3 linked regions of the Sus scrofa genome follow. The protein of the gene in region 1 interacts with the protein of each later gene in a pairwise test. Links are inferred from orthologs where the notes say so. Each region holds a gene or a part of one and is shown in the gene's direction. Other genes may lie near its edges. The genes, in order: HNRNPF, DZIP3 and HNRNPM.

Region 1 (4,182 bases):
CAGCTCTGATTCAACCCCTAGCCTGGGTGCGGCCCTAAAAAGACAAAATAAATAAATAAATAAATAAAGCCTACTTGGCTCATAGGCCCTCTTTTTTTTTTTTTTTTTTTTTGTCTTTTTGCCATTTCTTGGGCCGCTCCCGAGGCATATGGAGGTTCCCAGGCTAGGGGTCGAATTGGAGCTGTAGCCAGATCTGAGCCGCCTCTGCAACCTACACCACAGCTCACGGCAATGCCGGATCGTTAACCCACTGAGCAAGGGCAGGGACCAAACCCACAACCTCATGGTTCCTAGTCGGATTCGTTAACCACTGCGCCACGGCGGGAACTCCTCGCAGGCCCTCTTAGTGGATTGCATGAATCTGGTTTCACAGTCCCTAAACCCTGAAGCATCTTTTTTTTTGCAGGGGTGGGGTCGGGGGTGGGGTGGTAATTTAAATATTTGCCTCAGATTAGCTACTTGCACTTTCTTTCCATAAACAGACTTTTCTATACCATGAGCTAGCATGGGATCATTGGGTTTCTTAAGAATACCTATTTGAATTTTGTAGGACCTGTTTTCCGTAATTATGCTTCGCCTGAGTCTTCTCATACATTTTTACCTCCTGCTTTTACTTTTCCCATCCCTCCCAAATCAACTTCTTTTGACAAACTGTTCTCCTTCCTTCACTATAGGTTGTCCATTCATAATCTGACCCTATTCCAAGCACTCCCTTAATTTATTTAAAAAGCAACCTGCTTAATCAGTGATGAGTTTCTTTATATTTTCCTCTTCATGAATTGAGTCTCCAAAAATAAAATGGTAATAATTAATAATCCTAGAACACATAAAAAAATAATCTGCTCCACTGCCTCAGGCAGAGTAGCCACTTCAGCTACCATCCACCCTGTCGCTCAGGTGCTCTGAAATGTCTGCTTTTCCCTGGGGACTTGAGGGTCACCTTCAGAAACCTTAGGCCTTCTCAGCCCAAGTGATAATCACATGAGCAACCTCAACCTACCAATCCCTCCCTAAACCCTGCTCTCGGAACAGCCTTTGTCGGTTTCCAGGATTTGGTTCCCTCTTTCTTCCTCCTCGGCAGGAAATGACTCTCATTTTCTTCTGTCACGCTGGTCTTCAATCCAGGGATCCTTTGGGCTCACTGTTGGGGAAACTCTCCCAGATGATACCCTTAGAGACGCCGGAAAAACCCATAAGCCTTGCCCTCCCCTCCCTCGAGCAGGATTCGCCCACGTAACCCACCTTGCCACTTGCAGCGCCCTCGCACCGCAGGCCCCGGCCCGGTCCTGCGCCTGGCCGACCAATCCCCGACTCCGCTCCGGGCGCGTCACAACGGCGCCCTTGTGGCCCCACCCCCATAACCCGCCTTGGAGACTCCGCCCCGCCGCGGTCTTTACGTCCTTCCGGCTCCGTCTTGGAAGTGGGGTTGCGCCGCGTCTTTCAGGAGCGAAAGGTGGGGTTCTGCAGAGAAAACGGCCCGCGGTCACGCCGGCAGCCGGAGGCGGGGGCGGGGGCAGGGGCTCCTGGGGCTGTTGTTCCCGGGTATTTGGGCGCAGGTCTGAGGAGGGGAGGGTCAAGGCAAACCAAGGCATAAGGGCTTCCGGAAGCGCCGCGTGCGCACGACGGGCGGGAGTTGTGGACTCAGGCCTTCCGCGCGCCTGACCCCGCCCCTCGTAAGCCCCGCCCAGGGCGCGCTGCCAGAGGTTTCCATAGTGATGGTAAACAAGCCTCAACTGCCTCTGCTACAACTGCCAAGTCCCCCGCGTTCCACCCTCTTCTAGGTGCTCACAGGGTCGACCGAGGTGCCGGATGTGAAGACGAGCGGGAGCGTGGAGACTCGGAGCCCAAGGTGAGGGGTGGTAGGGGCGGCGTGTCCGAGGCCTACACACCAGAAACCGAGGCCCCTGGCATTGAGGACCGAGGAGCTGAGATTTGGGGGTCAGGGGAGGCGGGATCTGTGGTAAAGGCCTGCACCTGGGCCTACTGGAGGTTGAAGACCGTGGGGCTGAAATTTGGGGTCTGAGATCAGGAGCCACACACCTAGGGACCGACTAGGTCCTGAACGAGGACCTGGCCCACTGAGGGTGGGGCCTGCGGGACTGAGATGTGAACTTCGGGGAGGTGGGCCTGAGGCCACTGGTTTACATTCGGGGACTGGATCGCGGGGCTGAGGTTTGGTGTCAGAGGACGCAGGATCGGAAGGGAGGAAGAGCCTGGTGCGGACTCTTGGGGTGGGGAGGCAGAGCCCGAGCGCCCCTGCCTGGGGTACGGTGAAAACATGGGGCGACCGTGAGAGGGGGTTCATTTAAAAATGAAAGCAGTACTTTCACGTGGCTGCGCGCGTCAGGGAGTTGCACGGGACTGGTTGGGAACTGACTCCTCCCCCCTCCCACGTTCCCGCTCGCAGAGCCTCCACTTTCCGTCTTTGCGGCCTTTTCTTCCTCTCCGCGCCGCGTGTGTGCCCTGAGCCGGTCTGCATTTGTCTCCTGCTCTCAAAGGTAGCATGTGGATATTTTGGTTGAAACTGTTCGGTTCTTGTTGTCTTTGCCTGGTGCCCACACTTCCGCTGGGGAAACTTGGTCGGCCGTTTTTTTATTCTTCACTTATCCTTTTATCTTTGAGTGTATTTTTGCTAATTCGTGACTGCGCCCCAGAAACTGCTGGACGCTGCCGGCGCTCGCGCGGCTCCCTCTGCCTCCCAGCCCCCGCGTGGCCCACGTAAGGTGGCGCCGAGCGGTCTGGGTGACGCCGCGCGAGACGCGGGGCCCGACCGACCCTGGGCCCCGGTGTTTTACGGTTAGGAGGCCTCAAGCTCCTCCCGGTTAGTCTTTTCCTTATCAGGGGACCCCCACAGGTTCCCGCCGGACGAACCTCAGGCCCGGGAGAGCCTGCCTCCCTTCTCCGGCTACCTGCGAGCCCCGCGAGACGCCCTTCGCGGCAGTTTCCTTCCCTTGGAGGCCCTACGACAAACCAACGTGCTTCACAGCTATTTTCGAGCCAGAGAACCTGGCGTGGGGGGAAGGAGTTGCCTGCCTCGGCGGGCGGGTTGTTCAGCGGGACCGGGGCCCGAGAGCTGCTGTGGGGGTGGGGGAGGGGCCGGGTGGCCGCGGCGGCTTCCGCGGAACCGGCCGCGGCTGGCGGCGGTGGGGGGAGGGGGGCCCAGGCTCCCAAAGTTAGGGGCGGGCCTCGGTAATCGGACCCTTGTAGAGCCGGGAGAGTTAGTTGAAGGCTGCAAATAATCCTTAAACGAATGCGTCAGCGAAACTACCGGTCTTGATATTCTTACTATTACTTTTAAGTCACGTTTTTAAAAGTTAACTATTTGTGCGTTTCTAGTAAGAATGAACAAACCTCGGGTTCTCCGGTCAGACAAAAATATTAGGATCTATCAGTGAAAAGTGATGTTTTCAGTTCTAATGAAGATAAGCTCCTTCATTTTAAAATAAGTAAATTTACTAGTTAAGCAAGTTCGGCCTTTGCCTCGGGGAGCTCCTCTTAATAGTATGCGTTTCTGTAAATTGATTAGATTTATTCTTTCCGTGTTATAGTCTACTTTTTAATTTTTAACTGCTAAGCGACTGATTTTCACTTGAGTATTGTTAACGTACCTCCCTTATAAAGTAACTCAAGTAAAAATGAGAATGGTTTAAGGGGAGGGATTGATTAAACAGGAGGAGAGTTAGTCCTTTGATAAGGTCAAAACTGGGGAAGACAACAAAAGACAAAAAGACAAAAAACAAAAAGACAAAAAAAAAAAAAACTGGGGAAGAGTGGAGACACACGTGGTGCGTGCCCTTTGGAGTAGTGCCTGGTGGGGCTACAGAAGTGGGAGGGGGGCCCCCCATCGACAGAGGTGACTTTCCCATCAACCTCCCCTCTCCAGTCTGAGTTTTGGCTCTCAGACTCTTTGTGGAATCACACTGATTGGCCCTCAGTAGTCCAGACACAGAGCTAGGTGTTTTACACTTTTCTAATCACATGCCCGCGATCAGTCCATAAGGAGATATTACTGCTATCCCCATCATACAGATGTGTCCTAGAACACATCTGGGACTGTTCTTAAGTCTGTCTGACGTGGGACATCCCTCTGCCAGGACCCCTGCCTCCAGTTAGTTGCTCTGAACAAGGGTTCTTGTGGAAGACAAACGATTGGGCAGAGGGAGAACCAGGTTCATGGATTTT
Region 2 (3,645 bases), on another chromosome or scaffold:
ACTGGTCCAGATTTTCATCAGACATAACTGCTAGGCCCCAATCCCAGTCCTTCTGCTAAGGCTCTGGGATACCATTGTGTTTTTCTGCTTAACCTTTTAAGAGGGTTCTTTGAGCTTAAGAAAATGCTACGTTTGATGATATAAGAAAGTCAGGCAAGAACACTTGACTTGTAAATTCACTTATATATTAGAGACTTTTCTTTTTTACATTTACTCTCATAAGATTTTGAATGACAAAAACTCAAGAGAATAAAGGTAATATTTGGGAAAGCGCTGTGAGCAATAAATAAATTCAAGGCATTTCAAGTAGTTCTCACTCTGAGTGTGAGAACCTTATTGGTCAGGTCCCTTTAATAGAGGCTTTCCTAGTATCCTATATCTCTCTCTGAGTAGTTAGTAAAGTTTCAGTTTTCATTATTATATCTGATTATTGGATTAATATCCATTGGCGAATCTCTGCTAAACCTGTGAAGGTTGTCTTTTTTCTTGACCATTCAAACTTTAGAGCCTGACACACTTGATACGTCATAGGTGCTTAATAAATATTAATGGGCAAGGAGAGGGAGTGCTGATCAGGGTTTTGCTTAAAAAGGTTTAAACTTTCATTGGAGGTTTGCTTCATAATTGACTATTATTACTTCATGACCTTAGACTGTAAATTAAATTTTGCTTCTTGGTTTAAAGTGCTTCTGTTCAAGGCATTATCTATTATGAATTATCTTTTTTATTTTTTTAAAAATTTTATTTATTTTTTTGTCTTTTTGCCTTTTCTAGGTCCGCTCCCACAGCATATGGAGGTTCCCAGGCTGGGGTCTAATCGGAGCTGTAGCCGCCGGCCAACGCCAGAGCCACAGCAACGCCAGATCCAAGCCGTTTCTGCAACCTACACCAGAGCTCACAGCAACGCCGGATCTTTAATCCACTGAGCCAGGGCAGGGATGGAACCCGCAACCTCATGGTTCCTAATCAGATTGGTTAACCACTGAGCCATGACAGGAACTCCTATTCTTTTACTTTTTTTTCTCTAATCATGGGTTAATAACCTTTATTTTATACTTTAAAGATTATGCCTTGTTTAAATTATATTCATGAGTGAAGCTGCTTATTTTTAGTTATAATATTTACTGATGCAGTGTAAAAAATCTGGTTGTTCTTGTTCTGATATTTATTGGTTGCATTTGCAATTGTACATCTAAATTTTTTCTTCGTCTATCATAGGAATTGCTCTACAGTCAATAACAGGAAGTCAACGTAAGTGTGTTTAAAAACCAAATGCCTGAGTGACGTTTCAACTCAAGATAGCTAAGGAGCACCTATAGATTTTTACTTGGTTAGATAAAGTGTATGATGAACTGTAATTATTATAAACTTATAAAATTATATAGTCAAATATATTACTAGTCAGCTGAATCTAGTACAAGCCTTTTAACTCTGCCTTTGTCTGACTGCATGTGCCCCAGGGTTTACCCTAGCAGAGTCTTTTAACTTTTGACACACAGGATACTTCAACAGGTGAAAATGCTTACCTGCTTGCTCTACCTGCTTGCTCTACCTGCTCATATATGCTACTGTTTAGCATATGTGGTTATTATCTGGTTAACTATCCATTGTTAGGCTATGTACTTTTTTAGCTAGCCAGGTTGTGAGTTGCTAATTTTTTAATTTCCATCCTTTGGGGGTTTTTTTAAATGTAATTCAAGTTCTGCAATTAACATTATACTTAAGAAAAGAACACCATAGGTTTTATTTGGATCATGTGTAACCCAGTCAGATGAAGTCCACAGGTTTAGAGATTGAATCTCTGGAGCAATATTAAGGAGCATGGTGTCCAAAAAGAAGTCATAATAGGGGGCTGATAACTTTTAACAATCTTTGGTTATTTAAAAAAAAGAAAAAAGAAAAAAATAGACAGTCTTTTCCTTTTTTTCTTTATGTTTCATAAAAATTCCCTAAAATAATACTAGTTGCAATATTAATAGGGTCAATGTCAGTACACTCAAAACCTTCATATTTAGAGTTGACTTAAGTATATAGATGTCTAATATGTACAGTCTAAGATAACAGTAAAATATCTTAGAATTTGAGTTTGTACTGATTGGTTTCAGGTGAGTACGTATATCTATTATTTGATCATTGATAAATGAACATTTCATTTTTGTTTAGTTTTTGAGCAGGGTAAGATGTCTTTTATTTCTGGTATGATGTTTTGGGGGGAGTGAATATATTTTTATATAGTGATAAGAAACTAAAATTATGTGCATCCAGATTTTAAGTGTTTTGTTTTTAATATCTAGGTATTGAAATAGAAGAGTTACAAAATGAGGAAGAAGAACTAAGTCCACCTCTCATGGAGTACAATATAAATGTGAAATCAAACCCTGAAATACAGTTAGCGGAAATTAATAAAGATGGGGCATCGATACCCAGTGAATCTTCAACAGAATCTATTAAAGATCTCCAAGAAGTATAAGCTTTCATTAATATTTGAATTAGAAGAATTTAATCAAGGCTTTTAGTTTGTTGCATGTGCTGTTCTTAAATCATCCCAGACAATTTTAGTTTATATTTATCATTGTGTTTACACAAAGCTTGTATTGGAATGGTTCTTTTCGCAGCACTTTTTCCATAATCTTCTCTGCCTTAACCACACATTGTGCCAGCATTTATTGAATATTTATTATGTGCCAGGTTTCTGAACATATTTCTTCATCCTGAGTGGTGGTAGTGGATGTGGAAGGTTAATAGAAAGTAGAATAAAGCATAGTGGGGAATAGAGAAGAGCGAAAGGAAGAGAAAACAAGGGATATTTTAGTGCCATTTGCACAGAGGTAGAATTAAAATCATCCAGGATCTGTTTCTTTACAGATAACTGGTAACAGTTTTTATGTAGTCACTAAATTCTTCTCAAGCTTAATTTTTTGTCTTATGTACCTGAGTCTGTTGATTTTTCAAATGCTTTCCTCCTTTGTTATGTGTACAGGCATGTGTGTAAGTGAGGACCTCAGAGCTCTTTTCAGTAGCCTAGTCAGTGATGCTATATGTTGTTCCTTTTTACGTCAGTGATTAAGATTAAAATAAAAGTGAAAATAATTTTTCATAGAGTCTAGAACGAAAATATGATCTACGTTAGAAGATAAAAGGTCCCAGTGGTTAGAGGAAATATATTTTGCAAAATAGTCTTATTGTGTAGTTTGAATTGAATATTAAATAGAAGCAACACCAAGTAGTTATGCTGTGAGCCATGTGGGAAGTCCAGAATTTCATGTTAAATAAATGATTTGTTTCTTATCTATCAGGTTAAGAGTAAACCAAAGAAAAAGAAAAAGACTAAGAATAAAAAGGTAAGAGGCTTTTATTAGCATTACATTAGAGGAATGTCAGATTATGAACACATATTTAATACATGGTTTTATTGTTAGAACTTAAAATTAGTCCAAGTAGACATGTAGCACAAATAACTTAAAAATGTTTATAGCTTATTGAATATATGATTATAGAGAAGTCTATGTATGTTAGATCCTGAGTAATTTAAACTTATAGTATGCCTTACTTTACTTCCCTAAATCATAATTTACACATTTAAATATATAAATGAGGAACTGAATTAGTCACCTGGAATTTCATTAATTTCTGTGTACCACTCTC
Region 3 (4,150 bases), on another chromosome or scaffold:
ATAAAAAAAAAAATAAAGTACCTAGGGGGGAAAAAAAAGGAACAGAGGATTTTAGTAGATCAGAGATTTTAGGAGGGGAGGGGCTTGCAAAGGGCAATCTTGAAGGAAACCTGTGAGTCTGAAGAGTTTGGGAAGTCTGTGGGAACGGGAGCTGAAAGGAGAGGGTGGGGCCTAGCCTCCGGATCAGGCTGGGCTACTGGGTTTATTCTCTGGGACTGAAGTTCTTAATCCACTCAGAATACCAGCCCAAATTAAGCGTTTTATTTGGAGGAGGATGCGGCAGGTGGGATAGTCCCCCAGAGTGGAAGGAAATGTAGTTATTCAGTGAGAGGGAGAGGAAAACAAAACAAAACATCTCTTCCTTTTTTTTTTTTTTTTTTTTGCCTTTTTGTTATTTCTTGGGCCGCTCCCGCGGCATATGGAGGTTCCCAGGCTAGGGGTCGAATCGGAGCTGTAGCCACCAGCCTACGCCAGAGCCACAGCAACGCGGGATCCGAGCCGCGTCTGCAACCTACACCACAGCTCACGGCAACGCCGGATCGTTAACCCACTGAGCAAGTGCAGGGACCGAACCCGCAATCTCATGGTTCCTAGTCGGATTCGTTAACAACTGCGCCACGACGGGAACTCCACATCTCTTCCTTTGTGAGCTTAGAGTTTGGTGGTTAGGTGGGAACTCATGCAAGATCCAGTAAAGCATTTCAAAGTTCCAGATAGGGGTGGCTTCTGGGGAAGGGAGACAGAGGGACCCAAGATCAGGCAGCAAGGACCCCACCATTTCTTCCATTATGTGATCTCTATCACGTTTGGCTTCTTGCTTTTTCATTCACTCAGGAAACGTGCATAAGCACATACTAAGTCTCCAGTCATGCGTTTGGCTTGTAATGGATGGGTTCGGTGAGAGGGACTTAGTCCATGGGCTCTGCATCCAGGAGTTCTTAGAGCGGTGGGGAGATAGGTCGGATAGAGCCCAGGTATTCTTGGTGCAGGATACTTGCTTAGAGAGAGCATTTTGCACATCTGTCCTACTGCCTGGCCCTTCAGTGTCCTACCCTTGCCTGGCTAACTCGCTTATAGCCTAGTATAGTATTTCGCTGCCCTTCTGCCCCAGCTCTGTTTGCAGATACCTTGGAGTTACTGGGTCCGGGTAGGGGAATGGAAGGATGCCTCCCCTGCCAGACCTCGAGAGCGGATGGTGAATCCAGGAGGTGCCAAACGCGAGAATGAATTAACAGCTGATGGTCTGCGCCTGCGCGCGGCGGGGGGCGTGGCCCGGGGCGTGAGGGAAAGAGGCCGGAGGCCGCCGCGGCGCGCGCAGGCGTTACTGGTCGCGCCGGGTCATGTGAGCGCGCAGGCGCAGCGCCGCGCAGCCCGCTCGCTCACACAAAGCCCAGACGCGAAGAAAATGGCGGCAGGGGTCGAAGCGGCGGCCGAGGTGGCGGCGACAGAGCCTAAAATGGAGGAGGAGAGCGGCGCGCCCGGCGTGCCGACCGGCAACGGAGCTCCAGGCCCGAAAGGGTGAGTATCCTATGGCTTCTCTCAGGCCGGGCACTTTCACGGCGGTCGGCGGCAGCTCCGTTAGGTCTGTTGGCGGCCTTCTCCAGGCGCGGCTTTGGCCGAGCCTTCCCGGCAGGGTCTGCCGAGAATAGGGGCGTCAAAGACTGTGAGAGGTGAAGCTGGGCGGCCCCGGGAGCGTCTTCAGGACCGCTCCCTCCTCCCATGCTTCGGCTCTCAACTTCTCCGGTCCCTCTAGGCCGGATCCGACGCCGACGCCGAGGCCTCAGGCCCAGACTCTGCGTGCGGGGATAATGGCGCGCGGGCGCAGAAGCCGACCAGTCTGAGAGCCCGCGACCCGCTGGCCTATCGGATGACCTTGGGCGCGTGGTTTCGCATCCCTTCCCTATCGCCCGGGGTCTCAGTTTCTCGATCCGTAAAGTGGGGGGAGGGGAGGGGAGGGAGTGCGCACGCAGGGCTTTGCGCGCGGTCAGTCTGGGTAAACGGTAGCAGAGGCGGGTAGGTACCGGGAAGGACCGCGAGGCCGGCTCGGGGCACCTCCTCCCCGCGCCTTCCCCTCCCCCCCCTCCCGCCCCCGCCTCGCGGGAAATGCCTCGGTCGGAACCGCCCCTTGCCCGACGCTCAGGCGCAGGCTCAGGTCCCTCACCTCCTTCCCAGGTGCGCAGTAGGTATTTGTGAAGAGATCGAACCGTTTGTTCTTCAGTGTTCAGCCGTAAAAACAAAGTGTAGGGAATAAAAGGGAAACATCCTCTTCCGTGTTCCAGAAGGTTTTCCATCATTAGGCGGATTCACCCAATCCAAACTCCGTCACCTTTTCGAGTCCTGTTTGAGGCTCTTTCTTGGGTCCTTGGTATTTAAGGTTTTCTTAACACTTTAAAGTAACGTCCTGTGTTCTCGTGAACCCCACTCATTGTGATTACAGCCTCTGAAAAATGCGGAGAGACTTTTTGGCCCCGACCAGCAGCTGTGGGGGGAGGAGAGGGGAAGCCTGGGTGCGCATTTGATTTCCCATGGACGTTAAAAAAAATTATTGGGGGGTGGGAATTGTAACAACCGAAGATGTTTACAATTTTAATCATTTTCAAGTGTACAATTTTAATCATTTTCAAGTGTACGATTCAGTGGCATCAAGTGTGTTGGCGGTATTGTGCAGCTATCACCAGTGTCCATGTCCACAACTTTTTCATCATCCCAAACAAACTGTAGCCATTAAACAATAACTTCCCATCTCCCTCTCTTCCTGGTTACCTGTGTTAGGCGTTCTGTCTTTTCTGAATTTGTCTTTACACAAGTTTTTAATGTGCATCATTAGAGTTTGTGGGAAGTAAAAGTGAATGTAGTTAAAGAACTTTGTTAATAAACACTCACTAAATAATAGCCATGTTGCTAAACTTGGGGGTGGGGGACAGAATACCATGGTTACTGGTCCCTGGAAATAAAGAGAAAGTATTCCCAACCCTTTATTATTGAAAGCTCTGGAAAGGGCCTTGTTCATCTAGACTTTTTTCATTACCTAGTAGGGAGCCTAGTAGGATTTTTGAGGGTTGTATTTGGAAGATACATTTGATTTCCTTTTTTTTTTTCTCCTATCAAAGCAGTTATCACAGGATGGAGTGCTGCTAGAACTGTATTAGCTGAGAAGTTATCAGTTACAGATTTTAACATCTGGGGTACATTTTTCAACTTTCCCATTTTCTACTGTCCATTTCAAAATAGTCATATTGTGACTTTTATTTGACAAACATAACACATTAGAATCTGAAGGTTTTCAAGACAAAAGAGCTCTAGTTGAAAAGAATCTGGGACTGCTTAATAGAGAGTATTTTAGGAAGTTAACAACACTTAGATCTTTCTTGTAGGGCCACTGGAAAACTGTGGTTTTTGTTTCCCTTTTTTTGCATTATGAGGCTTTTGAAGTAGAACTCTTTAAATTTTATTATTATTATTTTTTGTCTTCTTATGGCTGCACCTGCGGCATATGGAAGTTCTCAGTCTGGGGTTGAATCAGAGCTGCAGCTGCCAGCCAACACCACAGCCACAGCAGTGGGGGATCAGAGCTGCATCTGCGATGTATACCACAGCTCACAGCAACGCTGGATCCTTAATCTACTGAGTGAGGCCAGGGATGGAACCCACATCCTTAGGGATTCTAGTCTGGTTCTTAACCTGCTTGGCCACAGGGGAACTCCCCAAACAGAGGTCTTTAGAAAATGAAGCCCATGCTCATAAGGGGAGGCTAATGAATATTTTTGTATTAAGGTAATTGTGCTGTGATTGAGGTAAAAGGAGTTAACCAGGTATGGGTATGAAGGGGCTCCCCTCCCCCCCCACCAACTTGTTGGGGGATGGGCAGGAGATGTTCTTCCAGGAGGAGGAGGAGGATGAAAGGTGATAGGGAAGAGTCAAAGAGGAGTGTCCAAAGACTAGGGATTTTGATATATTCTTTGCAAATTTGTAAAGAACTGAAACTGCTGGAACACTGGGGGCCAGCTGGTGGGCAATGAATTCCAGGCTAAGGCATTTAGATTTTTATCATGAAAGCCTTTGAGGGATGGGAAGTGAGTGAAACTAGGTTATTTTTACCTTTGTCTCCATCAGGAGTGGAGTGTGCTGTAAACCTAAAAGGCAGTGGGAT

Evidence for each region.
Region 2: the proteins of HNRNPF (region 1) and DZIP3 interact in binary tests that used the Homo sapiens proteins (3 or more experiments, as listed by UniProt). The two-hybrid records come from large-scale screens. The link is inferred for Sus scrofa from reciprocal best matches to the Homo sapiens genes HNRNPF and DZIP3.
Region 3: the proteins of HNRNPF (region 1) and HNRNPM interact in binary tests that used the Homo sapiens proteins (3 or more experiments, as listed by UniProt). The two-hybrid records come from large-scale screens. The link is inferred for Sus scrofa from reciprocal best matches to the Homo sapiens genes HNRNPF and HNRNPM.

Annotation. Positions count from the first base shown.
Region 1 is NC_010456.5:61,665,128-61,669,309, reverse strand, and holds the start of HNRNPF (heterogeneous nuclear ribonucleoprotein F), read left to right. Parts: upstream 1-1,364; 5' UTR 1,365-1,453; intron 1,454-1,781; exon of another isoform or gene 1,782-1,849; intron 1,850-2,407; exon of another isoform or gene 2,408-2,498; intron 2,499-4,182.
Region 2 is NC_010455.5:150,846,921-150,850,565, reverse strand, and holds part of DZIP3 (E3 ubiquitin-protein ligase DZIP3), read left to right. Parts: intron 1-1,218; coding exon 1,219-1,251; intron 1,252-2,294; coding exon 2,295-2,464; intron 2,465-3,296; coding exon 3,297-3,341; intron 3,342-3,645. UniProt on the Homo sapiens protein: E3 Ubiquitin ligase proteins mediate ubiquitination and subsequent proteasomal degradation of target proteins.
Region 3 is NC_010444.4:70,856,027-70,860,176, reverse strand, and holds the start of HNRNPM (heterogeneous nuclear ribonucleoprotein M), read left to right. Parts: upstream 1-1,335; 5' UTR 1,336-1,405; coding exon 1,406-1,518; intron 1,519-4,150. UniProt on the Homo sapiens protein: Pre-mRNA binding protein in vivo, binds avidly to poly(G) and poly(U) RNA homopolymers in vitro. Involved in splicing.